Schizosaccharomyces pombe: one gene and its partners. The protein of the gene in region 2 binds, or shares a complex with, the protein of the main gene of each other region. Each region holds a gene or a part of one and is shown on either strand. Other genes may lie near its edges. The genes, in order: mrpl15, SPOM_SPCC777.17C, img2 and mrp7.

Region 1 (7,949 bases), on a different chromosome or scaffold from region 2:
TACAAATAAAAAGAAAATAATTCAGTGATTATGGGCACTTGAGTATTTTAGAAAAAAAAATAATTCCAATAAATATAAAATTAAACTAAAGTTTAAGTACTAGAAAATATAATGGCTTTAGAATCATTACTTTCAAGAAGTTCGGATTTGGGCTATGTCTGCCTTTACACTTTTTCAAATTCATTCATTTTTTCTAGTAACTCTAATAGAAAAACTTTTTATTTACAAGAATTAATGATACATTTGAATGATTTATATACTCATAATTAGTTAACAACTTTTTGTTATTATCTGGTGTTTATTTACATTTCGAGCATGTGACTTACACTCTTGGGTAACAATATTAGTTTTAAGTCAGCTACTCACAAACTAAACCTTTTAATCATGTTTTAGAATGGATGAGGCTTTTGGTGATAGTTTGAGTACAGATTACCGATGGTTAGGTCATTCTCATTTTGATAGTCATCCATCTGCGGGTGACAGTATATACTTTGACTCCCTTGACGAAGGTAGGTAAAGTTTAATGTCAACTTGTATTGTGAACTTTTGAAAACACTGGGTAATTACACTCATGCCGTCTTCTTCCATCTGTAGATGAACTAAATGTTTTCTATTTTAAGAGGGAAATTGGTTTATGACATACATTTTGGCTTGAAGGGTATTCACCTGTAACGTCCATATACTTTTTCGAAAAGTCTGTCAACTGAAAATGTAACTAATATTATGTAGATGCAGATCCGTCTCGTACCGCTAGAATTGATCGAATAGCTGAATTGTTGGATGGACTTAACGATGAACAAATAAGTGAGCTTGTTAATGGCGTAAATAGTACTACGATTAAAGAAAACACCAAAAAAGAAATTTCGAACCCCAATGACTCTACAAGACTTCCTTTAGAGCAAATACCAGGTTCAAACAACTTATTTCTGGATCCGCGTCATCAACTTGGTGATAATAGTCAAAATGCTCAAAGACATCATGAGCCTTCGTTTAACTCGGAGAAAGCATCTTATACTAGTACACCTTACAAGAATGTCGCCCCGAAAGTGATTGATTCACCTAGTGCTCGTCATATGCACTCCAATTCACCTTCATTTCCACCTTCTCAATCACACACCAGCTCTTATGACCAAAGTCCAAAAGGACAGCTACGAGATAATATTAGTGTTCCTAATCAACAAGATGGATTGGACCCTGAAGTGTTTAATCAGCAATCTAAAGAGACTAAAAAAAGTTTACAGGTTCCACCAAGCCGTAACGTACCACCCCCAGTCACTCGCCCTAATCAATATAATCCTGAGCCTAATTTTTCTTTGAGTTCAGGTTATCCACAACAACATTTCTCACAGCCGGAGCTTCAAAATCGGAATGTTCATTTGGAAACTGTACCAGAGTCATATCCAGTACCGCCTTCTGGCTATCCTCTTACTTCATCTACATGTGTTTCTTCTATTAGTCAACCTATCCAATCTACGGATTGTCAAAAGGCTCAGGAAAATCTTTCTAATAATAAACAGATGTCGTCGAATGATCAAGACATCGATCCTTTTAAACAAGCCATTACCGATTTACCTCCTTCTTTTGTTAATATTGTTTTGGAGATGAATGCCACAATACAATCCTTATCAAATCAATGCCAACAAAGAGATAAACAGATTGAAAATATAACCAAGCAATTGCTTATGAATCAGCAGGATTATTGTCCCACAACAATGTCAACAACTGTTTCTACTCCACTTTGTCCTCCAAAACGATTCCCTAAAAGCACAAAAGACTTTAAAGAGCAAAAACCTGATACGAAGCAGGTACGATCTGCTACTATTAGCAATGATTTTAACCTTAAAGGCAACGGAAGGTATAATGAAAAATCTCAAATTGCGGTTCCAAGTGAAATACGAGTTCAGCTATCAACACTTGATGCTATTCTTTTGCAATTTGAGCACTTGCGTAAGGAACTTACCCAAGCCCGTAAAGAGATACAAATTCTTCGGCATACTTCTCAAAATGGAGATCAAGAATCAAATGAAAGCTCAAAAAATGCAATAACCACAAAGACTACTGACAAAGGAAATAATAAGGAGAATACTATGCTGAATGACGGGTCTACAGCCCCTGCAAAAAATGATATAAGAAATGTTATTAATACCAATAATCTTGATGCAAAATTGTCAGATGAAAGTGAGTTAATGATCGAAAAGAACAAAAGCTACTCAACACCTGCTTCATCTACCATCCCTACTTTCCATACCTCACAGCCTCTTACTTCCTTAAATATGCCTGATTCTAGATTTAATCTGGCTAAGGAAAAACAACTTTATTATCGGCTAGGCCTTCAGCATATAGATCAACAGTGTAGTGTTGAAACAGCCAACATGTTGAAAACAGTTTTGGTCCAATTAAATATCCCTTTTGCAATTTTTCCTTCTACCATCGGACAAGTCAGACGCCAGCTGCAACAAGGTCGTAGACTCTACCAATGGGCACGAAATATCCATTATCTAATATACGAGGAGAATATGCGTGACGGTTTGGTTTCAAAACAGTGTTTAGCAGATATGCTGAAAAAGATAAGGGAGCTTAAAAAACGTAGTTTGTGAATGGATGCCAATGACTTACAACTCGATCAATAAGATTTTGGGATGCAGCTTATATTATACAAATGTTGATAAATATGAAATATATTATTAACTACTGACTGAATGAAAGAGGCGTTAAATAAATCGATAGTAATAATAAGCGTATGGCAAAATGTACTATATTATGGCATCCTTTGCATAAAGAATTTTATCCTGCTGCTACACATCTTATTGATTATGCACGGTATTAGGTCTCACGAAATCTTTTGTCAAATCTGATATGATGCTTTTCTTACAAAAATTCATAGCCTCAACTCCGCCTTTTTGGAAGTAAACGACAGCAACAAGTCCGGAAACAATACTACTGTATATCTTTTCAAAACTAGACGAAGATGGAGAATTAGGCCCTTTTAATGGCAAAATACATTGTGTGGCAGTTTCAGGATTCCATTTTTTTGCAACTTCAGCGAGTCGAGCAGGGGAACGAAGATTTACTAAATCCTTGTATGAAGGTATTGTGCTAAAGTTTCCTGATTCCAAATAATGATTAAGTAAGCAAACATCGATAACTGCATTTCCAACCGAAACGAAAGGTTCATTATATCTTTTCAGCCCATGTTTATAAGATTTATGAGTTACAATTTGTTCTCTTAGAGATTTGTCTGAGATGTAATTTTTTTCACCAAAAACACGACTGAAAAAGCTGTCAATGTCTTCTTCTGTAGATGTCATTTCATATCTGTACTTATTTTCATTACACGCAATTTTCCCAATTCGACGGACACAATTCCATGATGATGATCTGAACACAAATTTATTTTCAATTTGAAGTCCTAAACGATTACAATGTCTTGTTAACATACGGATGGCATAAAATCTTAGAAAGAGCTTCAAGTTCCTCAAACCCTTGTATGGAAAATCAACTTTTCGAAAGAAAAGATATCTGTTTTCTGCAACTAGAATATAGGTTGTTTTTAAAAAACATTGGCCGATTACGAAGTAGTAAAATAGCGCACTACGCTTGAGATCACAGTGTACGAACGTCAAGGTATGCTAATGTTATCAAACTGTTTCAATAATTTACAATTTATTTTGTGTTTTACTGTTAAGTGTATATAAACAACTACTACAAAGTTATTCCAAAGAAACAATTAATTGAAAGGATACTGAAGTTTTGGTTGAAAATTTGTCACAATGAACCAAGATGATTTCAGAAAGCTTTTAGCTACTCCAAAAGCCGAAACCTCCCAGTTAAAAAATTTCTCATCGAATAAAAGTCAGCGACTTGTTTTTGGTCGTAAACATAAGACGGCCAAATTGGAAGCACCCAGAGCCCTAATTAAAAGAAAACAACTAAGTCATTCTACATCGTCAGACATTACGAGACATTCTAATGCAAAAAATTCAGGGAAAGATACTCAATTTTATGAAGAGCCTTCTTCCAAACAGGATATTGAGTTGCACAAATTGCACGAGAAACTTCGCAATGGCCAAATTACGACAAAAGAATATTCAGAAAAATCTAAAGAATTAGGCGGAGATTTGAATACAACTCATCTCGTGCGTGGTCTTGATCGAAAATTGCTTGAAAAAGTTCGCTCTAATGAGCTAGCCTTGGATGATTCTCTGCTTTCTTCGAGTGAGAAAGAAGTTGACGAAGAAGCAGACAAGCTTTTAGAGAAAGTTGCTGAGGAGTCATCACATCCTGAATCTGTTTCTATTCTAGAAGAAAAAAAGAAGATACCTCTTTATCCTAATGGACAACCGAAATATCGTAAAATTTTGGAAAATGGAAAAAAAGTTAAATATTTGCTTGATGAAAATGGTGAAATCCTAAAACGGCTTGTGAAGAAGGAAAAAAAGTTAAAAAATGATAATGAACGTTTAGAAAATGAACATAGAACCGAGAAATTAAACGTGAACGCTAATAGCTTAGGGAAAAGCTTTGTTAAGCATGATATACCACTTCCACCAGTTGATTTGAAGCTCGATATTTTCGAGGAGGTTGGAGAATATGATCCTTTTCATGAAAATGATAAAGAGCCTGCTGAGTTGAAGGCGAAGGATGCTTTTCAGCTTAAAGGTCATCATGAATTGGATGCGCCTTATCATAAGAAAGTCTTTGATACAAATCAATATAGCGATCTTAAACCTACGAATTTTATGTCTCAAATTCATCGACTTGCCAAAGTTCAGGAACGCAAAGAAGAAGAAGAGCGAAAGAAAGGAAAAGACGGACAAATTGTTGATGCAGGTTTCGGGCTTGTATTATCAAAAGACGATACAGCAGATATTCACGAGTTAGGGGAATCTGACGATGATGATAATGTTAAAAGGAGAAAGACGAAAGGTTAAAAGTACTACTTCATTCAGTATGAATATTTACGATTTAAGATTTAAGTTACGTGTTTTTAAAATATTATTATGAGGCTACAATTATTTATTTGCCCGTTTTACACCAAAAAACCTCGATTCGGGGAATTATGTTGAGGAAGCCCTGTTAAATGATCAAACGAACATATAGAAAAAGTAAGTATATCCATATCATTTCATGTAAACTTATCTACTCCAAGGCCTTTTTAATGGTTTGGATTTGTTCTAATACACAACTCTTAGCGGTACCACCAATCGCACAACGCTTCTCCACACTGGATTCATAGTTGAAAACATCTGCAACATCTTCTTCATATAATGGGTGTAGCGATTTAAAATCTTCAACACTTAGCTTATCAATGGTAGTGTTTCTTTCCTCGGCCATTCGGACAGCGGACCCGGAAATATGATGAGTTTCACGAAAGGGAACACCTTTACGCACAAGGTATTCTGCCAAATCAGTCGCTAGCATGTCCGCAGTCAAGCTCTTAGCAATATTTTCTGGATTTACAGTTAAAGTAGAAAGAACTCCGGTTAGAATTTGAATGGAATCCAAAACAGTTTTGGAAGAATCGAAAAGCGGTTCTTTATCTTCTTGGAGGTCTTTGTTATATGTTGAAGGAATCCCTTTAACCGAAACCATAAAGCCCATCATGTTGCCAAAAACTCGGCCAGACTTTCCACGAAGAAGTTCTAAAGAATCGGGATTTTTTTTTTGAGGCATAATACTACTTCCAGTTGAATAAGCATCGGAAAGGGTAACGAAGTTGAACTCAGAAGTAGAATATATAATAAGATCCTCTGCCAAACGGGAAATATGGGTCATTACCATACTAGCCCAGAACATAAATTCAATAACATAATCGCGGTCAGCTACAGCATTCATTGAATTCATAATAACCCCTTCAAAACCAAGTTCCTTTTGTAAGAACTTACGATCTACGGCGAAAGGATTACCAGCAAGTGCACCAGCGCCTAAAGGGAGTCGGTTGACTCTAGAATAAATTTGTTTCAAGCGATCCAAGTCATTTAATATAGAAAAGGCATGAGACAATAAGAAATGGGACCAGCGAATAGGCTGGGCTCTTTGCAAATGAGTGTAACCGGGCATAATGATATCAAGGTCAGACTCTGCACGAGCAACAAAAACTTGGAGTAACCCAACTAAAGATTTTTGGATGATGTCCAACTCATCACGTAGCCAAAGGCGCATATCGGTCGTAACTTGATCGTTGCGACTTCTTCCTGTATGAAGCTTACCAGCAATGCCTGTACCAATTATTTCTCCCAATCTGCGCTCGTTAGCAGTATGGATATCTTCGTCAGAAGGTTGAAGAGTGAATTTATTTGTCTTCCATTCATCTCGGACAGCCTCTAAACCATCTAACATTTTATCCAATTCATCAGCACTAATGATTCCGCGTTGTTCTAATGCCTTAGCATAAGCTTTCGAGCCATCAATGTCGGCATTGAACATGCGCTTGTCATAATGAATAGACTCATTATAAGCTGTCATCAAGGGATCAGTGGCGCCAGTAAATCTACCGCCCCAAAGTTTTTGTGAAGAAGCCATTCAGAATTGTTAAAACAGAGTCAGTTTTTCAAGTTTTCAACCAACGCAAAAAGGAGGTAGTACTACTTAAAATTTAATTTATCTAATCTTTTGAGAGTATGGCTATATGACCGTGTAACCTCTTCCTTATCGCAACCTATTGTTATATCACATTAACGATACGGCGATAGATATGAAATTGATATTATAATCGCTATAATAAGATCTAACGTATTGGAACGTATAAACACTTAATAAATGTTTACATTCCGCTTCGTTATTTCTTTCCTTAAGTTTACAAAAGATATCATATATGGAAGCTTTGGTTGGAATCTTACTGTATAAATGTACTCAACCTGAATGATTTGTTTTGTCTTTCTGATTTATTAACTCAGAGCTACCAAAGAATTTCGCGAGCATTAGCTTAGATTTAAGAAAATTGACTGTTATAAAGATTGAGAATTCTTAAAAGATTTTCTTGTTAGTTGTGATTGTTTTTTCGATTTTTATTAGAACGATATTTATAGATGCCTGAAAACTCATTGGTAGATAAGTATTGTTTTCTCGTTTTTACTAGTGTCTGATCAGACTAAACTGGTTTAAACATTATGATGCATCTTCCGCCCAATTTCTTTTAAGATAGCTAACGAAAATCAATTAAAATAAACATGGACCAACCGAGTTTATGAATCCACCAAATATAGTGGGATTATAAAGAAGAAGAAAATCAACGAAGAATAAAGTGATAACAGTACATGATTTTCCTTTTCCCTCTTTACTTTCGTCTCTTACTGCCTTAAATTATACACTGCATTTCAAATTGTCAACTATATTATTGATTTCTTTTGGCATGAACACATATAGGGCGTATTACTTCGACAGTCTAACATTTACTTATACCAAGCTTCTCAAAATTCGTTTATAGTACTCGTCTTCGCCAACAAATAACTTAACAATTTACGTATGGATATGTTGTTAACAGAACGTCTGGACTCAAAACGGAATCCACAAAGTGTTATCTTCGAGAATACTCTAGAGCCAGTTTAGATCTTGCTAGTTATTTTTAAATAGAAGTTATTGAAGGTTGCCGAGCAATACAAGTGTGATATAGTAATGTTGAATCTGAACCATTTATTGTCCACTAGTAAATGTGCAAGAATTAATCCATTTATTGTTTCCATGTAAAACATAGAACAGATAGCGTAACAAACAACATCGTACTTTAGCATTTCACTTTGAAAAATTTTAGTCAGAGCTTCTTGTACATTGTTATCAAGGGTCGTAAATGAATTATGTTAGCTTTCTGGAGTGTCTGCTAGACTTAAACAATTGGATTTTAGAAAACTAAAGAGTGTAGCCCCTATTTAAATCTATTTAATTGTAATAGCTTGAATGCTACTCAAAGGCGTAAATCCTTTTTTAAGCGCTTATATTCCTGCTAAAAGAAT
Region 2 (7,748 bases):
TTTTTGTAATGGACGTTCATGAAGAGCGCTTCGTAAGGAGGGCTGGTTAATGATATGTTCGTTAATGTATTGAAAAACACGATCTGCATACTGGGGTTTATAAGGGTAACACCGCAAGAAAAAATTGAGGATGCTAGAAAGTATAGAAACAATACAATCTAGTGGAAGACCACTACGAGATTGAATAACTTCAACAACATGTGACCATAAAACCTCTTGAATAGCATATTCTGGAGGAATTACTTTATCTCCAGGGCATTCTTGCTCGTCTTTTTGCTGTACTTCCTCATTAATTTTTATGTCTCCTAATTTTTCGGTTACAGTCTCAGATTCATCTTCATTAGAAGAATCAGATTCATATTCACGTTGGACATAGTCCGTAAGGCGATTCAACATAGCGACCACAAGTTGGGTTACGTTTACGCTTGGAGAAAGCTTTATGACCGTACCGAAATATGTATCGAGGGTTTGAAGATGCATATTATCAGAAAACGCCTGACAAATTACTTCAACAAGATACTCTTGTGCAAGTGAGTCCCGACATTCAATAATTTGCTCGATTATGGCAGGAAGGACATGATCTCGGTAAGTGTCTATATCGAGGTTTAACTGAGATAATCGAACCAAATTCAGCCCAACAAGAACCTTTAGCTCATTCCTTTCTTGGGTACGTTTGGAAAATTCTTTAATTGGACCAAGATGTTGGATTCTAACCCACAATTTATTCATTTCCGTAAAGTTGATAACTAAAAATTTAACAGAATCGAGTACGGTTCCTTTGCGAGATGCATCTTCCTCATCTTCTGATCCCAAAGGTAATCCTTTTCTTGTTTGGGTAAGCAGATAATGGCGCAAAAAAAGACCTCTTAACGGATGCTGAACACCTCTACACATATCTAACAAATCATTCATAATTTCACGTACAAGGGCATTAGGCGTTTCCAAATAAGCGCTTCCAACGGTTATCATGAGATATAAACGAGGGACAATACTACCGGCATATTGAACAAGTTCATAAAGGTCCATTAGGTTGTGAGTACCGTTCAGATGCGTTTCCAGCAATGTGCCCCCAAGTAAACGCAAGCTTTCCATATTAAACATATACAGCTCATAGTATTGTTTTGGAGTAAGTGCAGAATTTCTCATTTCCACGAGACTAATACTGCAATTACGAAATGCATCCATCAATCGTCCTGTCTGCAAGTTTCTTTGCATCAGCCTACTAGACTGCTTGCAAATATTTAAGGACTCTTCCAAGCTCCTTGTAATTTCTTCGTTAGCAGTATTAATTCCGTTCATAGAGCCCTAAATATCCACTTCCAAGTGTTTCAATTTAACCAACGTAATTGTAATTTCAGTATAGTTTTACTAGCGGCCCAACTTTCGAACAGAAAAACAGGATGTTTGTTATTCTTTTTAATTCACTAATATTAGCAATGTTTTTTATAATGGGTTCGTTGAAATGTCTACAAATAAAGTTGGTGGTACTGGTTGAGATATATTGGTAGATCTTGAAGTATTGCGCGCAGCACAGCTTGGAATCGCGCTTCGCTCAATTTCAAATTGACCATTTTCATATCACAAATATCGCGCCTAAATAGTATATTATTTTGATAACAATTAAAAGAAACTATAAATCTAATCATCGGAAAGGTTCACACTACAAGATTCGTCTTAGACCTCTAAACTAACGGTTTTTGAATTCTACATTCAATTGAGAATTTATTTAAGCTGCTTTTCTTTTTATTTTGTAAAAACTTTCTTGACGGATTTCTTGGTGCACCCATTTAATTGAAATGAGTATTATGAAACCGACAACTCGATTTTTTCGCTTCAATTCCCTTGAACTAGCAGTCTCACCTTTTCAAAGAATTTATGGGCAACTGGTATGTCAAGCTTATAAAAAAAATCACCGTTACTTACACAGTTATTTAGAGGTTTCTTCGTAAACAGCCAAAACCGTTTTTGGTAAAACTGTTAAACAACGAAGTTTCAAAGCTAGGAAGGCAAGGTATGCTAAATTTTTCATAATTATAATGTTCTTCATTTCAAACCTATAATAGGGAGGTAGTGGTTACATCCTTTTATTATAAGAAATGCATTCTTTTAGCCGTCGTAGGAAACTACTAACTTTACAAAAGGTGATGTCGTCTCAGTGACAAGGGGATATTATCGAAATACACTTTTCCCCAAGAAGCAAGCGATTGCTGTTGATGCCTTAAAATCTATGAAAGCACATTTGTTACAAGGGTCCGAATTCTCGACGAAAACGAAGGAATAATAATACCTAAACTCTCACTTAGTTCAATCAACATAAAAAGAATTTATTGAGTTTATTAGTGGATTAATTAAGGCTTAGCTAGCTGCAATTTGAACAATTCTAGCTTTTCATTACGAGATATTGTTACATTACTAACAAGAATTACGAAGTATTCAGCATTGACTTTTTTCTATAAAAAAATATAAAAAATTTAATTAAAAGGCTTCACTAGAAGCGTAGTCTCTTTCTGAGTTTGAATATTATCGTTATTGTAATATTTTATCAGGGTTGATGCTTAGTGTTTCTCAATTACAATAACAAGCTTTGGATTTTCCTATAATAGTATAGTTAATATGAAATTTAAATCCTTGAATGGTAAACGTTTACTGCGTATTGTGCGGCCATCGTTTCTGCTCTATCAGCTCGTCTAGCATCTTCTTCTCACAGCTACCAACTATTTTGAGTTGGATCCAAAATCATCTCATAACTCGTGTTTATTATTGCTAAAGCAGCAGAGAAAATATTTTTCATTACCTTATTCAGCTTCAATGAAAATTAATTTGTTTTTTGTGTTTCTATTTGAACTTCTGCATTTCGTGGCAGCTTATAGTTGTGAAGGAGATGAATCAGCTGCCATTGAAGCTATGAATGTCTTACAGGTACCGTATGAAAAATACAACACAGACCCAGTTTGCGCTTTTGACAATTCCACCGTTGTCGAACTTTCAGATAAAACCTGGGATCATGTCATTGAATCTGGCAAATGGTTTGTGCAGTTGACTGCTGAAGGCTGTGCTAACTGTACTCTTGGAGAGCTACTTTTTAACGTAAGTAATGGACTGCATTTAATGTTGTCCAAATGCTCTTGTTATGAGATTGAATTTTGAGCCTCGGAAATAAATTAAACCATCTTTGGATTTAATTGAATCTGTACTAACTAATTTTAGGACCTTTCGCATGCTTTTCATGAAAAATATCCGGATGTCCACTTTGCCCGTGTTTACTTGAGCAGTAGCCTCGAACTTTCTGTACGCTTACTCATTTCTCGGATTCCTTCTTATTATTTCATCGATAATCAAAATTTCTACCGTGTTTCTCCTCAGGTTCTTCCCAAGAACAAGGCAATCGCCTTATATGAAAAAGACGGGTTCAAAAGTATGAAAAAAGAGCAAGGTTTTTTCTCTGTTAACGGGCCCTTGAAGTCCTTTTACTGGGTCTTTGGAAAGGCACTTGCACTTTACGGACACTTAAGTCAAAAATACACCCCTCTTGGAATGAATGTAGCTATTTTTGGGATCTCTGCCTACATAATGTATCGCTCTAGCAAAAAAGCGAAACAAAAACAAGCCGCTGCTGCTGCCGCCGCCGCTGCAAAAAAGAAATAAGCTATGTGGAAAATACTATTAGTTTTTGATAATATCAATTTTTTGAATAATTATACGAGAGTTTGTTACATGTTCTATATGTAAGGCACCGCTCTAGTAAAGGTTTATACCCTATTTGTTTCATTCCTTCCTTTTTTAACAGAACGTAGATTTTCCAACCTTATTGCTTGTTTGGAGATTCATTAGAGGAATCATCTTTTAGCTTAGAATAAACGGCAAAGTACTGCCCGTCTCTTTTCTTAGCATTCTGAAATACATTCCACGGCTCTTGATCGGGTAATGATGGTAGAGATTCCGCATTAATAGCATGATTCAAAGTACGAAATGGTTCCTTAATGAAGGATGTATCAAGTCTCTCAATTGCATGCATTTGAATGATTCCTTCGTTGAGTTTTAGAATTGTTCTTTCATTCTCTTCCTTAGAGTCTGCTTCACGAAGACCAACGAGCCTCAGCAAATGACCATACTCAGTTAAGCCAATTGGTTTGGGTGGATTTCCTTGGAGAATTCGTTTAAGTGAAACCTTTGAAGGTTTCAAAAATGGCATAGTGAAAAGGAAAATAGAGCTAATTACAAGAGAAAAATATAGTACAGGTTAAAAAAAAGATTCAATCTTAAACACTTTGTAAGTTTTTCAAATGCTTTGAAACAGCTGTCGAAGTTGTAGTCGGTTCCTACAATTTAACGACTAGGTTGTAAGTCTGGGTTTTTTTAGAATTAATAGTAAAGGAATATATTAAATCATTCGGTAAGTAAAGTCAATATAATCAGCTTCTCTAATTAGGAGAACTATTTTTCATTACTATGATAACCGTTTCCCATTCCCTAAATTTACGACATCCTGCGATGTCTGTATATAACTTTACATAGCAGTGTTCCAGTACGTAATATTGTTGAATGCTTGCGTAGAGTAACGACTTTATTAAAATTGGTTATTGCAATTGAATAAGGTAATATAAAATGCCACATTATTAGCACTTTAGGTGTCTACATGTTTCGCTATTTTTTAATGATGTATGAGAGTATTGTTTATACCCAAAATTGTAAGCGCATTTTCCATCCTTCTGCCTATTACAAGAATCGCGTAAATCATGAGAAAAATTTGGGAATTAAAAAAGAAAGAAGCTCAAAAAGAGAAAAATGCGTCAGGGATTAGTCCAGCACAAATCCGAATCCAAAAAGGTGCGACTCATCATGTTGATAACTTTTCGCGATTTACTCGAAACTAACCATTTTCGATGAATTTAGACGTTACAGATTTAGAAATCCCATCTACGATGTCTACAAGCTGGCCAGATCCTATAAAATTGAACGTGCTACATTTAGAAATCCGGCCTGACGAAGGTAAGTTTGTGATTCCGCATGAAAGAATATTTGGTGTAGACTTTTTGAGACTATTATTTTTTATTTTGATTAACATGAAAAGGGTATTACAAGGGTGGGAAATTTAAATTTCGAATCCAAATCGACGATAATTATCCTCATGATCCTCCTAAGGTTAAATGTCTAAACAAAGTATGTCAGTCATGCTCTAAATTAGAGTTGCAGCTTATGGTATATTTTTTGCATTTAAGAAAATAACCATTATAACATGTTTTGAACCCTTTCGTTCTGACCTACTGTTAGATCTATCACCCAAATATCGATATTGAGGGAAACGTATGCCTCAATATTCTGCGTCAGGATTGGAATCCAGTGTTGAATTTGAATTCTATTTTGGTTGGATTGCAATTTTTATTCTTGTCACCAAACGCAGAAGATCCACTCAACAAAGGTAGGTTAATTACAATTTTTTGGGGGGCAATGAACTATTTCTTGTTATTGCATTACAAGGAAATGATTATTCATCTCTTAACTATCATTTGATACTCATTTTTTCTACGATCCTTTATTATGGGATTTATAAGGTTCTTTACTGAGGACAATGATTATGATAAGCAATTTTAATATAAGAAATCTGGTTTGCTCCTTAACAAATTTTCTAGATTTATTTAACTATACTAACAAACGATATCTTTTAGAGGCGGCGGCTGATTTGCATAAAGACCCTCAAGGATTTGCATCTCGTGTGCGTACAGCCATGAAAGGTGGTCTTGTGAATGGAATTTCTTTTGACAATGTCATGGCTTAATTTTTCATCAATCTAAATCAATTCGATAAAGATAACCGACATAGATTAGACGACTGTCATGAAAATATTGATGTGTTTTAAATCTCGCTAAATCAGTCACGATTACGATGAACTTCCGATATCAGTATAAAAACACATAACCAGAACCAAACCCCCCTAATAAGCCCGTAACTGCTTTACAATGTTTCAAAGACGATCACTTCTCTCTGTTCGTTCGTCTGGTTCCCAAATCGCCTTTCGTCGATTTGTCAGCGTAAGTACAAGTTTGTTGATAGAGTATGCATTGTAAGTGCAACTGAACATACGATGGCAAATAATTAGACTATCATCTAATTCTGATTGTTTTCGAGAATTCTGTACTTTGCTCTTGTTTTTAGACAAGTATTGATGTTGAGAATGCTTCTTACTGACCCAACAAAATAAATCTTCATTTGTGCTTTCATACTGCCTCATACAGTACTAATTTTAATATTTCTTAAACTGCTTATTAACCAAGTTTAGCTTACCCACAAAGATCCAACTCCTGATACAACCAGTTGCAATATTATCAAGAAGGAAGGGGCGAATATTATATCAGTTTATGCACGCTATCCAGTCGTAGCTGCTAAAGGTGAGGGCTCCTATTTGTTTGACAAGGAAGGTCGTAAATACATTGACTTCACCTCTGGCGTAGCTGTTACATCTTTGGGTCATGCTCATCCTGAAGTTGCTAGACTTGCCGCTGATCAATGCTCCAAATTAGTCCATAGTAGCAACCTTTTCTACAACGAGCCTGCCATTGAGCTATCTAATGTCATTAATAATTCTTTGGCAAAAAATAGCGGTATTGCTGGCCCCACAAAAATTTTCTTTGCCAATTGTGGTACTGAGGCCAATGAGACAGCCTTGAAGTTCGCTCGTAAGGCAGCGTTTGAGAAGTATGGAGAAGGGAAGAGTCAAATTGTTTACTTTAATAACTCTTTCCACGGCCGTTCTTTGGGATCTCTTAGTATCACTGCGAACCCCAAATATAAACGTGGTTTCCAACCATTACTTCCTGATGTCGTCCAAGCCGTCTATAATGACCCTGCATCCATAGAGCAATTTGTCAATGACAAAACTGCGGCTGTTATTGTCGAGCCCGTTCAAGGTGAAGGTGGTATTTGTCCTGCCAAGCCTGAATTTTTGATTGCTTTGCGCAAGGCCTGTGATAAGGTTGGTGCTTCTTTAATCTATGATGAAATTCAATGCGGACTTGGTCGCAGCGGTGATCTTTGGGCCCATAGTATCGTTAAGGATGTCGCTAGTCCCGATATTATCACAGTTGCCAAACCTTTGGCTAATGGTCTACCTATCGGCGCCACCATTGTCTCCAGTAAGATCGCTGCTGAAATTCACCCTGGTGAACATGGCAGTACTTTCGGAGGTAATCCTGTTGCTTGCCGTGTAGGCACATTCTGTGTTAATGAATTAGGGTCATCCAAGATTCTACAAAACGTTAGAAAGCAACACAAGGCTCTTACTTCACGTTTTGATGACTTTGTTGCCAAATACCCTAATCTTATTCGTGGATATGCTGGTCGTGGTCTTCTTCTTGGTTTGCAATTTACCGAGCCCCCTGCTAAATTTATTGAGCTTGCTCGTCAACAAGGTCTTTTACTCTTACCAGGTGGAAACAACAACACCCGTGTCCTTCCTAGTTTGAATGTTAAAGATGAGGTTATTGCTAAGGGTTTGGATATCATGGAGAGCACTTTGAAGGCTTTAAGTAAGTAAAAGTGTATGTTTTCGTAGACTTGGTCATTGAATGGATTGGTTATATAGTGCGATAAAAAGTGATTATTACGAGAAATCTTGTTCCTCGAAAACATATATTAACCTTGCTCTCATTTGCCAACCAAAAAATTTTTTGATAGGGGGGTTACGAAAAGCTTAGCTGGAAGCTTTACATTGTAAATACTGGTTTTCGTTATTCCCTTTCTTTTCATAATCA
Region 3 (8,003 bases), on a different chromosome or scaffold from region 2:
CAGACAATAATTTATTACAACGACATGAACATCTCGTGAACAGATGAGGCCCATTTGAAGGTTTAACAGATTTCTCATTGTTAAAAATTTCGAATTTCAATGGAGAATTACAGAGAAAGTGGTTGTTCGCCTTACTATTACCAGGAAAGTTTGAAAAAAAGTCTTTCATCTGACTTATCGATTTCAAATTCATCCATTCTTGTTCGATTGGAAAACTCCTGCTAGTAGAGAACAAGTTTCGAATATTTTTGTATAGCAATTCATTATTTTCAAGAGACGTTGATGTCGCACAATAACAAGCTGGCATTAATAAAAAAGAAAAAGAAAAGGAATAAAAGGCTTTCGATAATCGAATACAAATGAATGCGGTTTGTTCGCATTCAAGGAAAGTAAGGTATTAATGTCAAGAAAAAACAAAACAAAAAATTCAACACGGAAATAAAGTGCCTTATATCGTGTCAATGCTTAACCACTTTTTGATAAACGAAAAAAAAATAACAAAAAAAACAGAAAATCATTAAATCATGGATAACCGTAAGTATTTTTCGAGAAAGCCTCAGTTCACTAAAGAAAATATAATTCCCAACATTAAGAGTTATTCAGCTTATAATCACCAATAAAAAAGGGATAAACTACAAGGAATTTTCTTCTCGTGAATAATTAATTCATAAGCAAATTGTAAATCAACGTCTTCAGAACAAAGCAAAAATTTTAAAAGCTAAAAATGTTTGTCAAAATATTCCTATCACAGACAAATCCAAGTTCAATTCAAAAATAATGAAAAAGTCGTTGAGATTTCAGGATTATAAGTATGTGTGAAGGGAAAGGTAAAGAACAGTCCATGGGCGTATGACGCAGATATATAGATTATGTTTGAAGGTATGTTTTCGATATAGCATTTAATATTTGTCAATTTACAAACTATACAATATTGAGAAAAGAATTTTTAATTTAGTTATATACCCTAATAGCCTTAAACGTATTCTGTCTATAACTACAGTCAAAAAATAAAAACACCGGAGTTTCGATATATATATTATAATTTCCTTTAAGCGTTTATAAATTCAACAAAACAAACGAATAGGTAGCAAAAAAAAGATTGTATTTAGCATTTGGACGCCTCACATTAAGCAGATGTTTGAATTTCTTTTTACGCAAGTACCTCTTGAATGTTTCTACTGAAGCTCGAATAACTATTTATTTAAAGGTAGTTAAGGAAAACCATCACAAAAGATGCATTTTTTCCATTGTCAAGTTTGAAAACCACGTATGATGAGAAGAAATGAATCGAGATTAATTATTTGCAACAGCTGTGTTTTATTTGACATTATCACCGCTGTAACAAGGAGATGAAGTAAAAGTAATATGCTAAAAAGCCAAATTGATATATATGCTCGAGAGTTTTATGTTGATAAAAAGCAACTTTATCATTCCTTTGAAAGAAGGATACGTACATACATAGTAACAATCTAAAAAAGGAAAAATTCTAGGAACTTAAAAACCTTGGTCTTGTAACCATTCACGAACTGTGACTATGTGATTTCCCTTTAGGACAACTTGATTTGTTAACTTGTTTACATAAACATCTTTCGGTGACATTTTAAGTGTGGAAATGAGCCTGAGCCGCAAAGCCTATTGATAAAATATTGTTAGAAAAAAAAAAGAGAACGAATAAAAGAAGTTAAAATAAACTTGGGTTGGCCGTTAAAGCAAAAAGTTGATAGAACAATTTCCGCAGCATAGTGACTTTACTTGTACTTTCTTTAGCCAAGAGATTACTGCTGACGGAATATGTATACTTACATTAGAATCACCATGGATTTTACGAATTAAAGTCAGAATTTTCGTTCCTCGTTGTTTGTAGTCTAGATAGACTGGGAGATTTTTTGAAGGTGTACGTGAAACATGAAACCGAAGTGATTCGGATGCAATTGTTGAGTTGAACCTCAAATTTGATAGCACTGGCTTTAAGGATGATCGCATTTGGTTCAACAAAACTTTCTACGAGTTGCAGGAATTTATGGTGGATGTGTAAAAGAAGTCGTCGTGCATTCGCGAATAAAGAGGATTTCTATCATAACCTCCAAAAATTTGTAAGTTTTAAACAACTGTCAAACAGGAGCCTAAGATTAAGTGATTCACTAAGAACAATTAAAATAAAATAAAACGCTCTTGTTTTAAATAAATTTAATCGGTGCTTGAACCTCACGCGTGTTTAAACTCGAAAGTATTTTTACGGCACGGAATATACTTCAGCGAAGGTGCATACTCATTAAATTAATACTATATTTTGGAGTAGGCATTTAGGTGTTCAGCTTGTTGTTTTTTTTAATTTCGAACCGCTTTCCTACAATAAAATAAAAAATAATAATAAATAGCAAGAAATCTAAGTTAATTTGCAAATAAAACTGATCATTGATTCTAATAAAGACAAAATGGATGGATAAGTATTGCGACCAACAACTTCAATGAAAAGCCATAAGACCTAAAAAAAGTTATCCCTTTCTAGATGATTTTAAGTGCATTAAAGAGAGTGCTAAAAAATTAAAGCGATAAGGAAATGGTAAAACGAAAAGGGGTGTAAAAATCAACGTAGGAAAGAGATTTCATATGTAACTAATTGATATAAAAGATCTTGAAAGTTATGCATTAATAGATGATACAATCATATTTTGAGCCAGCATCTTATTTAGAATAACACGGGAAAGTACAATTAGTCAGTATACGGGAGTATAGGCAAGGGGAAGGATTACAATGTAAAATAGCAGGAATATTGAAAGTTACGACCGACTAAGTTGCCGAGCTAGTAACTTCTACCATTGATTCTTTGACATCTCCATTTGTAGGTTGAGAAAGAAGCAAAGTATGGGAAGTTTGAGGAGCAATTAGGCCCATGCGGTCGTAAACTGAGCGTGCGCGGATGTATTTATCCAAGTTCCAGTATGCATCAATAAGTTGTGAAGCTAACTTACGACGTTTTTGTTTCACTTCTGCCATGTCACCATTGTTCAAAATCCAATCCATTGTAACTTCCTCGTACTGTTTAGCAATTGCATCCTTTTTTGCTCTAAGACTCTTACGAGCTTCAACATTCTTCAGAGCTTCTGCTTCGTTTTGACAGGGTTCTGGATATGTATATCTCCATGGATTAGGCCCACCGAATTCTTTTAAAATATTGTCAGGATTTATATATTGTTGCAAATCACGATAATTACGAGTGAATTTAACCTTTGAGACAACCACTGGATCAAGCCAAGATTTGATGATGGACCAAACGCCTTGGAAAAGCCAAGGCGCTTTGTGTACAATACATTCACCCAGACATTCGGGATAGTGTGCTTCAAAACACTTGATCATGAATTTCAATGGCCCATAGTCCATATTGGACATACTGAAATCAGTCATATCAAAAACAACAGTAGCAGTTTCAATAGGAGGTTTGAGAATTAAACGAGCAGTTTCCATGACCCAAACTGTGAGTCGCTCAACCGATTCGGGTGAGACATCACCAACTTTATGAAGACGTGCGCGAATATAACAAACTGGACGATTGTGTTTATCTTCACCGAATATAAAACACTTTCCGATTCTTAGTTGACGCACAAAATCATCATCTTTATCAAGGTGGTCAGCGTTACATACAATTTCACCAACATTCATCTCTCTACTTCTCCAGTGAACGGTTTTCATGAACATTTCCAACGCAGCCTCAACGTTCCATTTTCGAGCACGAAGGAAACGAAGTAGAAGGCCATCAGGATCATCACAATTAACAGCATCCCAAAAGCAAACTCTAAGCCCTTCCGGGTCCCATTCACTTGCAATTTTTTCAACTCTTTCCAAATGCACATTTTTGGTTTTATCATTAAAACTGCGAGTGTCCGAGCCATGAGATGAAGACGTTAGTTCAAGTCGTGTACGGGATTTCGCATATGAGACGCTGCTTAAACGATGTGATGAGGAACTACTTGAATCATCAGATAAGTGTGTCTTCACTGTGTACCAAGATTCAGTTCTTTCGAGTAAAGTAATGCCGAAGAGCTTAAACAAATAACTCCACATAGTCTTCAACTTCTCTTCTTCAAGTTCTGTGAGATTCCACGGTCTACCGGCTCCTTCAGGCATATTTAATAAGTAAATTGCGCGCAAACAAATATAATCTAGAAAAAGTCCAAGGAAAAAATATATCAGATGAAATCAATATTAATAAAATTGAACTCAATTGAGAAGGAAATTACGAGAATAAGCCTAAAGAATGGAGGTTAATCTCGAAGATATATAATAATTTGAAAAATTGGCAAAGATAGACAAAAGAATGTGACGAGTCAAAAATACACTAGCCGTCAATTTGCTTCCTTTTGGTCAGAGATGCGAAACAAGCTCACTGAAAAACAAAACGTAATGCTTGTAGTAGAAAACAAAATAATATAGGGAACTTAGTTAACCGAATGAATGAATAAAAAAGAAGAATCACTCGACAAAAACTGAGTTGGTATTTTAAAAAAAAAGATAAAAAATTCCTCAGAGGACTATAAGTGGGCCTGAGAAAAAGCGTGAAATAATAACAAAGGGAGAGGAGCTCAATAATTTCTAATTCACCTTAATGTATATCAAAGTGATATATTAATGAATATGCAACGCACAGAAGGAAATGGATTTTTTTATGAAAGCAAAACGTAATAAAATAAAAAGTCACCTACAACTTTTTAAACGGATTTAGATTAATTACCTATTGGAGGCACAAAACGCGTCACAAAAATTAATGCAAAGACAAAGCCGTTCAAAAAGCAAAGAAAAGAAAACAGAGCTTTGAGAACATTCACGCGTTTAACACTTTTGAGAAATGACGGGGAAATTTTTAGGATGCTAAAAAGCGGAATTTTAAGACTTCCTGGTTTAATTACTTTAGCCAAAGAAGTGATCTAAGCTTTATAATTATTAGTAGTCGGTATTTTAGGAATCACTAGTATGCCGAAATTACGAAACTAACCGATCAACACAGCCTCTTCCTATACTTACACAATTCTTGGAATTAGTAGCAAGAATTAAAAGAAAAAGCCAACGAATATTAACCAAAATATATTTTTTCAAGGTACCAAACGCCACGAAATGCAGCTTACCTTCCTATGCGAAAGAATAGAGCGCTGAAGTATGGTGTGGTGTAGAGTGTCAAAGTCAGAAGCTGCGTTGCAGAACCATTTATAAACAACAACGCAAACCGTTCGTCCGTTGCTGTGATAGAGTGATACATAATATCAGTCAATTGCCTTTACCCGCTACATTACCTAGGAAATCGTAATAAACGAGCGTTATAATTTCATTACGTTACAAAACCACTGTATTAAATAGTAGAATCACCCAATTTTTGTAAAACTAATAAATTCTTAGCATATCACAATGTGAATGGAACGGTAGCTCCTATGTAAGAAATAAGAATGTTAAAGTTGGCTTTTAAGCAGTTTAGCAATTTTTCTGCGAAACTAGTAAGTAGATGCAAGGAAACTGGTTTCCACATTGTTTGGATTAACTCTACCTTTTCATTCATTGCTTCCAAGGTATTGTTTGTTTACGTACACCCTAACTTGACTTGAAAAATTTTAAACTAAAAAGTTGCTTTAAACATAAATTTAATAACTAATCATTATACTAAAAGACTATATGAATTGAATGGGCTTATCATAAAAAACATATAAATCAAAGGAAACTTTGTTTGCCAATTCCACTCTCAATAGCTTGCTCATTGCTTATTGATCTTAGACGTCAACTTGGCTTGCTCAACTAGGACACGAGGTGCATCCAACATAGGCATTACAAGCTCAACTACTTGAATGACATCTGCATTTGCAAACTCCTTGTCGCTAAACAACTTTTCAACGTCAGTAGGAGTTTTAACACAGTAAGTGCGGAAGTGGTTTTCAGCAGCTCCGAAAAACTTGGGAATCTGTTGGTAGCCCCATTTAGTGTTAATTTCGTTATAGCTAGCATGCAAACCATGAATTAAACGCTCAATGGTGTAACCGTCGTTGTTAATTATGAAAATAATTGGTTTGAGGTTATGGCGAATGCAGGTTGAAATCTCTGTAATCGTCAGTTGTAAGGATCCATCACCTACTACAAGAATGGTACGACGATCGGGCTCTTTAGAATCGTGGACGGCCAAAACAGCACCAAACATTGCACCAACGGAGTATCCAATAGATCCCCATAATACCTGGGAAATGGCTGTTACATCCTTTGGAAACCTGCAATCAAGGACACCAAAGTTTGCAGTTCCAGTCTCGGTGATCAAAACATCTCGGGGCTTCAAAAATTCACTAAATTTAGGCCAAAACCAGCAATGAGTAATCTCGTTGGAAGAATATCCTTCCGCATGCTTAGGCTTGATGTTGTAGCCAATGGTAGGAGCAGCCTTGGAATGACACATAGAAGCATCAAGTACTTTCAACAGTTTGCGAAGAATATACTTCATGGCTACATTTGGATAAAGAGCATATCGAATGCGCATGTGGTCTGAATGAAACTCAACGGCATTCTTTTGGCTGAGGTGGTAAGAGAAGGAACCCGTGTTAAAGTCTGATTTGAGAGCACCGATGGATAGCAACAGATCAGTGGATTCAATTCTGTCTTTAACTTCAGGATCTGAAATTGAACCAACATAAACGCCGTCAAAAAATTGCGAAGTTTCGTCAATTGCAGATTTACCCATGGGAGTTACATATGTAGGGAAATGGGTCAATTTAATCAGCTCATGTACTTCTGGAACGACACGATGTCTTACAGCACAAGCGTCAATTAAAATCACTGGTTTCTTTGCATTGACAACCATTTCCGAGATATGATTGATGACTTCTTGCTCAACTGCTGGATCGTTAGTATCCTCCTCGAGCTTTAGTCTTTTCCCAAGATTTGATGAAGATGCTTTGAAGTAGCCAGCATCAGAAGGAATACCAATGTAAACAGGCCTAGCCTTTTTATAACAAATCGACAAGGCTTCATCGATCTTTTCAGCTGCATCGTTTCCGTTATCGATCATTATACTGTAGGCAGAAACTTTCTTAAACATATCCATGAAAGTGCGAAAGTCTCCATCTCCTAAAGTATGATGAAGCAAAGCTCCAGTATCTTGCACCTTTGTGGAAGGCATTCCAACAATATGAACTACTGGGACATGCTCCGCATAAGAACCTGCCACTCCATTAATAGCGGAAAGCTCTCCCACGCCGAACGTTGTAACAATGGCTGAAAGACCATTAACACGAGCATAACCATCAGCGGCATAAGCACCATTCAACTCATTGGTATTGCCAACCCAACGAAATTTCTCATCTCCAACTTTCTCAATTAAGTCAAGTAGAGCTAAATTGAAATCTCCTGGAACACCAAGAATGGACTTGACCCCTAATTGTTCAAGCCTTTTGAATAGATATTCACCGACTAAAATATCCCCACTCATGTTTGATAATGCAATTTAATGTGCTTGTGAAATATACTCAACAAATTACAATGCTGAGTGTGTATTCCTTTTTCGCAAGATAATTATCTGTTGAATAACCAGCAGATACTTTCTGAACTTAAAGGAACAAGTGAGTTTGCTAGCTAAAAGTTAAAAAGATATAACCTTAGATGCTTCAGAGCAGGGTTACTCTGGCTATATAAGCAACATTCCGTCATCAATGATACATTGAGTTAATGTGGATTATTCTTTTTGAAACTCTTGGTACGAAACCACTCGTCAGAGGCTATTTCATTATTCGACTCAAATCTCACTATGTGCCACCCGGGAAAACGTCAACTATGCAATTTGCAATTATTGATTTAAGGCATCGTCAGCAGTTTATACTGGACGATTCTTCGGTTAGTGTAAGCAACTGCAGAAATTATTATGAAAACTCTACATCACCGAACGTTCCGTCTCGAAATTCTTAATTGTATCTATACCAAAGACAAAATTGATACCTTTTACATTATGTCTAAACTGAATTTAATGACTATTCCTTATTTCA
Region 4 (7,824 bases), on a different chromosome or scaffold from region 2:
GAAGCAAAGAACGAAACAACTGGAATGAATTACAAGCCAAACGTCGAGAAGGACAAGTCGTAGCCCACGATAAAGCAACCTCACCCCATATTTGTTTAAGCTCAGGATATGATGAACTCAATAACTCAATTGTCTTCAAAATCATGTTATGATATTTAACCAAATCATCCTCCTTCTTGGTTTTACCACGAAGGCCCGTTATTAGTGAGCTTTCTACATTGAAATCAAAATAAGCGTCGTCATAATCTAACCTTCCTTCCATAGCTAGAACTTTTCGTACAACATACTGAAAAATCTGCTGGCATTGCTCTTGGACTATGCGAGAATAATGATCAAATTGTATAAAAGCAGCATGGAGTATTGTAGCCACATCATCAGTAACTGTGATTATAGAAGGATTTGGAAGAATATCCATCAATAATAGTAAAGATAACTGGCACGGGGAGTAGGAAATATGATTTTTTTCACTGGGAAACAAATCCTCTAAATTTGCAACATAAGTTGAAGATAAATCCTCAAGACTAAATTTATAAACCTCTTGGTTTTCATTCGATACATTAGCAGGACAAACAAAAGACAGAAGGGTAGAGTAAAGATCAGAAAGAAGTTCTGTTTTCGCGAGATAAATAGTAATCTGTCTTGTACAGTCAACAAAAGAAAAAGTTTTCCTTTGGTAACACTGTTGCATTAAAAAAAATAAGATTACGGTCCAGTTCGACTTGTGACGCGAAAGAGCTAACGAGGTCCATAAAGCCTCAATTTCGTTAGGTAAATCATTAGTAAACTTTGCAGTGACTTCAATCAAATCAATTAGAATTACCGCCGTAAAAGAATCGAAAGTTTTGTTTTCAACATCCATCTTTAGCTCCAAATTTTGTAGCCACGGAAGTAAAACCGTCACCAGTCCACGTCTATGTTGATGACCATAATTGAAATAACGTAAACATTCTGAAGTTAAAGTGAATGAATCTTCAGTAAAATCGCTAGCAAGCTGTACAGAAAATAAGTATTGAGGTTTCAAGTATAAAGCGGGGTTGCTTGATTCCAAGAATGTTTTAAATTCCATCAATGCAGTCATAGTAAAATTATTTAGATGAAAATTTCCAAGTAACTCAAATGCTTTTAGCCTTACCGAAAGATTATTCGTGGAAAGGTTTACCAAACACAAGGGCAAAAGCTTTGGTTTACTCAAATTGTTTGGATTTATTTGAATAAGCATTTCAGAAAGCGACAAGAAATAGTAATTAGAAATAGTCTGCGAAATCTCTTTAGAAAAGCAACGGTTGATTACCTTCTGCAGCAATACTTCATTGCTGCTATTCTCTAATAATAAGGCGGTCAGGCCTTTTCTAGCCAGCCCCACTATAGCCTTGGAGGGAGAACCAAAGACAGCAGTAAACCAATTAAGCAGTATCTCTATGTCGAACAAAAACACTCCTTCAGTTAATTCCTGTTGTAGCTTTGCTGTACATAACGCGATCATTGCCTTAATAGCCAAATACTCGAGGTTTTGCTTTCCAGCTTCAAATGAAGCTAACAACTTATCACGCTCACGAATATCTTTATTGTTACCGCGTATATGAGCTCTCATTAGCTCTTCGCGATTTTTTGTAATTGCACGAGCAGGACCAAATCCAGTCCATTCATCCAATAATTTCCAACACGAAGCACGTCCCGAAAAAGGAAGAACCTCAGACGACGGATGCAAATTCTGAACCAGTAATACTTTCTCAAGTAATTGAGAAAAGTAGCACCTTAATTTCAAATACTTCTCATCTGCTTGGACATTAGGAGTACTCAAAAATCCCTTTAAATCTTTCAAAAATTCAGATATAACAGACAACGCTTCACGGTCTTCATTTAATAACTCATGCAATAAGAGATGTGATGTCATTGCAAAAATGTGAGCTATTTCAGATCGCAATAACAAATCAGGTTTATTACGGCGCTTCACAGAAGGGAAGTTTAAGCCTGCAAAAATAAACTCTTGATGATCCTGTTTGAGCACAGATATATACGGCTTCAAAGAACGTACTAATTGTGGAAAGGCGTTTACGTTTATACAGCCAATAGCAAAAACAACAGCTTCACGTATAGGAGAAAATTCAGTAAAAATGAGAGGCAATACCATACTAAAAAGACTTTCTGCGCTAGTTATCTTTATGGTTTCCTGTAAACCACGTAAATGGTTTCCAGATTGAACAGCAGTAAGTGTCCTCCTAAGGTCAGTGTGCGAATAATCCACGTTAGAAGTGTATGTAATTGTACAACATGCAACAATAAGGTACAGCTTCCACTGAACTAATAAAAACTCAGGAAAATTATCATTTTTTACAGCAGACTTCAAGTTAAAGTTTAATTCCGAAGATTCAATACGCGATAATAATTGCATAGTAATACTCGGAAGTTTCTCACAAACAGTATTTCTAAGCAATGCCATAGTGGTAGGAAATCTTTCAAAACAAACCTTTATAAAGCGAGGAAATACATTGTACCATATTGAAATGTCAACGCCGCTGTTTGACGTAGCTAGTTTCAAAAGCATATCCTTGGTTCCATCGTTGATAAACTTGCGCAATCGTGACCTTTCAGCAGCAGTCGGTAAGTGACTTTCGACACTCAAAATTGAAGAATCGCAATCTTTCAGAACATCGACAATTGTCGGTTCAGAATATATGTCACCAACTTCAACTTTATCTGAAGAAAGCATCAAATACTCCGTATTTAATTGCTTAACATCATTAAGCAAAGCCACTGCAAACTTACGGATTCCAACTGATGGTGAAGATAAATGAAGTACACCAAGTGATTGAATTTCTTCAATTATCGTCCAACTTTGAATGTCATCATAATCTTGTTTTACAGAGGCAGGAGTATTGCTTTCAGAACTTGCACACGATTTATTACTAAGGACAGAATTCCTTTTTTCAATAACTGCTTCTTGCTGACTGATCCAAATTCTAATAACTTCATGGTAAGTTCGTAACAAGTACTCTGAACCCTTAACCAATTTCCGAGAAAGACAAGATATCACTGACTTCGACATTTTAAGCCCAGAAGAAAAGTATATCAAAGAGTTATGACAAACAGTATGGATTATTTTGTTTGAACAATTCAAACACTTAACATATGCATCAATTACACGTTGTTCTAATTTTCCCATGAGACAAGGAAACACTTTGAGTGCATTAATGTACAAAGCAAGCAAACTGGTTGCATTTTTTGAATCAAGGTAACAGTTGGTATTAGTGGAGAGCTGAAAAACGAGGAATAGAAGCTTTTGCGAAAGATTATGAACAAATTGTTGTAATGGAGTTCCGACGGCAACTTCATGTAAATCAACGAACTCAAATTCAATATATTCGAATATAGTACTATCCGATTTTTTGTACTTCATGTCGTGCAGAATGTAATAAACAGACCGAACAACAATCATTAATTTCTCAGGGCCAATATTCTCGGTAAAAGCATCAGTAGACAAAGGTGTTAAAATCTCTTTGATGACAAGCTCTGGAAAATGAGCACCGACTACACGCACAATTTGTGCATAACCATCCAATTCTTCTAAAGTGGCGAATGGAACCACGCTAAACTTTTTGCCAATCGAAAATCCCGATTTCAAAATATTAGAAATATTAGAATTCATTATGGAAGGTTCTTCCTTATACTGATTAGAGTAAGTCCATACAACACGAGAAAGATGGGGTAGACCGGTGTTCCTTAATCGTCTGTCTTTAACACGAAAAAAAGCAGCATCAAGGGAGGATATCCAATGCTTAAGGAAGAACTGTTTGGGAGAAAGACATAGAAGTGTACAACAAAAAGGGAAAAAAACATTCCAGTATTTAGTTTTCGTACACATTTTCAGTACTACAGGATATATTGTTTCAATGGTGCGCGACCACGCAGGAATATTCACCTCAAATGTAGCTCGACTGATTAATGGTCGAAGCAACTGTTCCATAAGATATGCATATTCGATTTTCAAGGCTGTGTTGGCTTTCATGAAAAAGGAAGTCAATGATTGCAAAAAAGCAATTGACTCTTCTAAAAGAGTTGTTGGATAAAGCTGCAAACGCAAATAACGCATTGCTCTAAGGAGATGGACAAGAACCGTTTCTTTTTGCCTGGAATCACAGCCAGACTTTTCCAAATGCTCAATCTCTTCAATAAAACGATCTGATACCATGACGAAGTTAAATCGAGACATACTTCCCACAAGGAATGCAAAACTTTCCCAATTAGCAAGACTGAAATAGGATGACGAAACTGGTAAATTTTTAGCGCTTAGTAGCTGATGAAAAACGCATTCTAATAAACAAGATACAGTGCTTTCTTCTAAGGCATTTGACGGTATCGTTTCAGCAATCTCAGTCAAGACACGGCAAAGTATATAGATAGAAATAGAACTCCTCCGCTCATTAACAACCCGAGGAGTACCACTTGAACTTGTAATATCAACACGAACTTTTCTCCAACACAATAGGGATTCAATGACGGCAACCGGTTTGCTACTAGCTAAAGCTACAAGAGCTTGAATACATCTGTCAAATTCATTATCTTCCCCCTTTTTAAGAAGGAGGATAGCTTCTTGCTCTCCAACGTTGAATCGTACAGGTTCAGCATTCTTACCTTCGTTGGCATGATAACGAGAAAGAAATGATATTTTTTGTTCAGAGAGTCGAACAAACTGGGTGAAAAGTATGTGAAGCGCGTAATCAACTGCCGTATGGTCCTGCTTCTCAGAATACAAAGGACCATTTTCGACAGGTTGATCGTGAGCAATTTCATTCAAGCTCATTCAGGTTGGCATTATATGGTTATCTACTAAATAGACGAACTTCAAAGAAAAGGAGTATGCAAAGTAAGGGTTTGAGAGCAATACCGCTAGCCTACAGAAAAGTGAAGAAAAAAGTGTATAAAAAAGCTATCTCGTTAGTTTTTATATTTAAGCATGCGTAAGCAAATTGACTAGCAATCGATTGTTAAAATTTAGGCGTGAATGGATTCAAAACTAGAAGTTTGTAATGGCTAGCACTCCGAACAATAAAACCTCTCAGCACACTGCAACAATTTTTGCACATAAAGGAATATAACGCACTGCGTTGTAGTAGGTGTGGTACTATATAGTAGGTGATATACTTAAAAGTCTAACTTCAAAATGCCCAAAATAATTTTTAAATGAAATGTAAAAAAAGAATAACCTTCTGTATGTTTGGTCAAAACTTTCTGAATTCTATGTCAGAAAAGATAATATGGTACAAGTTCAGTTTTTTTTAATGATTTTTAAACCGTGGCAAATGCGATTTTTACACGCTAACTTTTTGGAAACGAATTATAAATATTTGTTGAAAAAACTTGAAAGTTTAAGAACAACATATACAATGCTTAATTATCAAATTATTCGCGTGGAAAAAAATAGAAGCATAAATCAGTAGAAAAAGAAAGACATATACGCAAACTTGTATACGCCCAAGACAAAGTAACAAAATAAGTTATAAATTTAATCATGCATTCACATTTTTGAGCATTAGACAGTAATAAACTACGATGACCGTGACGGGAGTTTAAATAAATAATAAAAAGAAGAAAATGTTATTTCGTGCAACCTTAAGTTGAAGGAAATCCAAAGGCATTGATGCATGTAATTATTAGTATATCCTTTTGAAGTATCTCTAAATAGTGAGCATTGCAGGTATGATGATGAGAGTTTCCGCATGGTTTCATGAAACTTGAGCAGAATTAGCAGAAGTTATATACTTATTGACACGGCGAATTGTAGGTTCATCTTTGGGCCTTGGTAACGTTGTCTCTTTGTCAAAAACAACACCGACGTATTTCCTCCGTTTGCGAAGAGACACATCCATTTGAAAAAACTTAACATATCCGGAAACAAGAGAATATATTGTGTGATCTTTACCTAGACCGGTATTATCTCCGGGATGAAATTTTGTACCACGTTGTCGAATTAGGATCTCACCAGCCCTAACGAATTGGTTTTCAGACCTTTTTATGCCGAGACGACGACCAGCAGAATCACCTGTGTTTTTCGATGAACCACCGCCATGTTTAGTAGAAGTACGAATAGGAGGGAAAGTGAGAATATTTGATGCTTTCTTATAAGCTAAACTAGCTTTAAGTAATTGAAAATTGTTAACACGAATAAAAAGCCCTTGATTGATCATTGCACGGTGAACTTTGCATCAAATGAAGTACGTATTGTAAAAGAAAAATGTGTTAAACTGATTTGGCAAATAATTAGTAATGTAGAAGGATACTAAATATTAAAAAAATTATATCTTCGTCGAAATATTGGTTTATACTAAAAGGATGGATTCGTTGTAACCAATCTTCGAAAGTTTCTACCTTACATTTCCTTTATCCCAATTTACGAGTCGTGGTAATCGTATAAAATATTCTTATTTTACAATAGTGTAGCCTTACATTTTCTGTTTGAAATTCCTTACTCCTAATATCTCGCTAAAAGAGTACCATTACCTACAATTTACTTTGTTTATATTGGAAGCATGATCGCTAATGAAAAAAAAAGTAAAAGACACTAAATTTACGTCGACAATTTCTATCCTTCTTTTTAATCATGGAAAATTCACTTGGCTCTTCAATTCAAACAGCATTAATGACTGCATGAAAGAAATATAACTTTTTCAAAGTTTTAGCCTTTATTGTATTGTCTTTATTACTCAATGATATTCAATTTTACTTGAACTTTTAAAGTATGCAGCTGGAATCACATATAATAGATTTTTCTGTGCTACTAATTGATGTCTTAATGCAATTTCAACTGTTTTGTTCCTCAAAGCAAAAATTTATGAATAAAAACGGATGTGCTTCGTGTTACTAGTTGGTGGCAGGAACCAGCAAATTTCATTTTCTTGTGAAGAAACCATAAATTCTACCTTGACAGCGATATGCTTCAAGTTATACAGTATATGTGCTGCCTTAGTTCGCAGGATAATGTATCAGGATATTGTCAAGCTTTAACTGGATTTGATTATACTCGGAAACTTCCTTAGGTTAAAAACTTTTAAAATTGGCATAAAATCTTTTTCTCGTGGATCTTCCAGCCATAGCACGACAGGGAGTACTAATTAAAGTACGTTTTGCTTAGCTGTACCTACGTTAATGTCGATCTGAAGCTTTAAGCTACTACTTCCACCTAATACTGTCGTGTCGATCCCATAACGGTGTGTTATCGACGATAAATACATCAATGTACGCGTTTTTTATTTTATGTAATTTATTAGAATATTTTTTAAAAGTTGTAAAATTTTTTGGTATATATTTTTAAAACAGGGTGGTGTTGCATTTCTAAATATTTCTCCATGTATATTGATTATGCACTTTTCCGTTTTCCATGATATGCCAGCTTTTGTGGCACGAACATAATTCTATGGGATCAGGAAGAGAGAAGAAAATAAGAAAGCTAGGAGATAACTTTTCATTACCATATCTGAAATTTGATTGTGACCATAATGACAAAAATTATCGCGCGTCAAATAGGCCATTTGGACTTTCAACTGGACTGTCAGTGCAGTTGAATGCTTCGAACATGACTGATCCCTTTAAATTTTTGTTAGATAATTGGCATACAATTTTCAAAAATGGAGCAATTAAGCTTCTGCCACCTGAGGGATGGCAAATACCTGTTGTTCTTGATCAAGGCGCTTTTGAGTTTCAGTCAAAACGCCAATGTTTAAATAAAGGTTGTCTCAATTATGAAAAAAATTATGATTATTTTAAGAAACTTAAAGCATTTCATGAAAGTCGCGGTTTATATTTTTATCACCCACCGATTATCGGGAA

What was found.
Region 1: SPOM_SPCC777.17C (region 2) and mrpl15 share a complex: the UniProt entries of both Schizosaccharomyces pombe proteins name them as parts of the mitochondrial large ribosomal subunit.
Region 3: SPOM_SPCC777.17C (region 2) and img2 share a complex: the UniProt entries of both Schizosaccharomyces pombe proteins name them as parts of the mitochondrial large ribosomal subunit.
Region 4: SPOM_SPCC777.17C (region 2) and mrp7 share a complex: the UniProt entries of both Schizosaccharomyces pombe proteins name them as parts of the mitochondrial large ribosomal subunit.

The regions. Positions count from the first base shown.
Region 1 is NC_003423.3:4,360,246-4,368,194, forward strand, and holds mrpl15 (mitochondrial 54S ribosomal protein mL57), read right to left. Parts: upstream 3,547-7,949; 5' UTR 3,438-3,546; coding exon 2,805-3,437; 3' UTR 2,637-2,804; downstream 1-2,636. Other genes in the region: SIN component scaffold protein Sid4, read left to right, coding at 395-509, 730-2,597; SPOM_SPBC1539.02 (uncharacterized protein), read left to right, coding at 3,771-4,931; arg41 (argininosuccinate lyase), read right to left, coding at 5,140-6,522. UniProt on the Schizosaccharomyces pombe protein: Component of the mitochondrial ribosome (mitoribosome), a dedicated translation machinery responsible for the synthesis of mitochondrial genome-encoded proteins, including at least some of the essential transmembrane subunits of the mitochondrial respiratory chain.
Region 2 is NC_003421.2:1,613,107-1,620,854, reverse strand, and holds SPOM_SPCC777.17C (mitochondrial ribosomal protein subunit L9), read left to right. Parts: upstream 1-1,796; coding exon 1,797-1,886; exon of another isoform or gene 1,887-1,935; coding exon 1,936-2,011; exon of another isoform or gene 2,012-2,141; coding exon 2,142-2,281; 3' UTR 2,282-2,709; downstream 2,710-7,748. Other genes in the region: retromer complex subunit Vps35, read right to left, coding at 1-1,299; SPOM_SPCC777.12C (ER stress response thioredoxin family membrane disulfide oxidoreductase), read left to right, coding at 2,809-3,087, 3,208-3,645; protein Gta3, read right to left, coding at 3,806-4,192; NEDD8-conjugating enzyme Ubc12, read left to right, coding at 4,737-4,827, 4,894-4,989, 5,072-5,160, 5,272-5,419, 5,667-5,776; arg1 (acetylornithine aminotransferase), read left to right, coding at 5,958-6,029, 6,278-7,531. UniProt on the Schizosaccharomyces pombe protein: Component of the mitochondrial ribosome (mitoribosome), a dedicated translation machinery responsible for the synthesis of mitochondrial genome-encoded proteins, including at least some of the essential transmembrane subunits of the mitochondrial respiratory chain.
Region 3 is NC_003424.3:585,047-593,049, reverse strand, and holds img2 (mitochondrial 54S ribosomal protein mL49), read right to left. Parts: upstream 1,984-8,003; coding exon 1,804-1,983; exon of another isoform or gene 1,633-1,803; coding exon 1,495-1,632; 3' UTR 898-1,494; downstream 1-897. Other genes in the region: SPOM_SPAC3H8.04 (chromosome segregation protein), read right to left, coding at 1-307; csr102 (sec14 cytosolic factor family phosphatidylinositol transporter), read right to left, coding at 2,791-4,125; pdc202 (pyruvate decarboxylase), read right to left, coding at 5,738-7,453. UniProt on the Schizosaccharomyces pombe protein: Component of the mitochondrial ribosome (mitoribosome), a dedicated translation machinery responsible for the synthesis of mitochondrial genome-encoded proteins, including at least some of the essential transmembrane subunits of the mitochondrial respiratory chain.
Region 4 is NC_003423.3:2,856,440-2,864,263, forward strand, and holds mrp7 (mitochondrial 54S ribosomal protein bL27m), read right to left. Parts: upstream 6,322-7,824; 5' UTR 6,186-6,321; coding exon 5,724-6,185; 3' UTR 5,040-5,723; downstream 1-5,039. Other genes in the region: morphogenesis protein Mor2, read right to left, coding at 1-4,801; Lid2 complex histone demethylase subunit Lid2, read left to right, coding at 7,376-7,824. UniProt on the Schizosaccharomyces pombe protein: Component of the mitochondrial ribosome (mitoribosome), a dedicated translation machinery responsible for the synthesis of mitochondrial genome-encoded proteins, including at least some of the essential transmembrane subunits of the mitochondrial respiratory chain.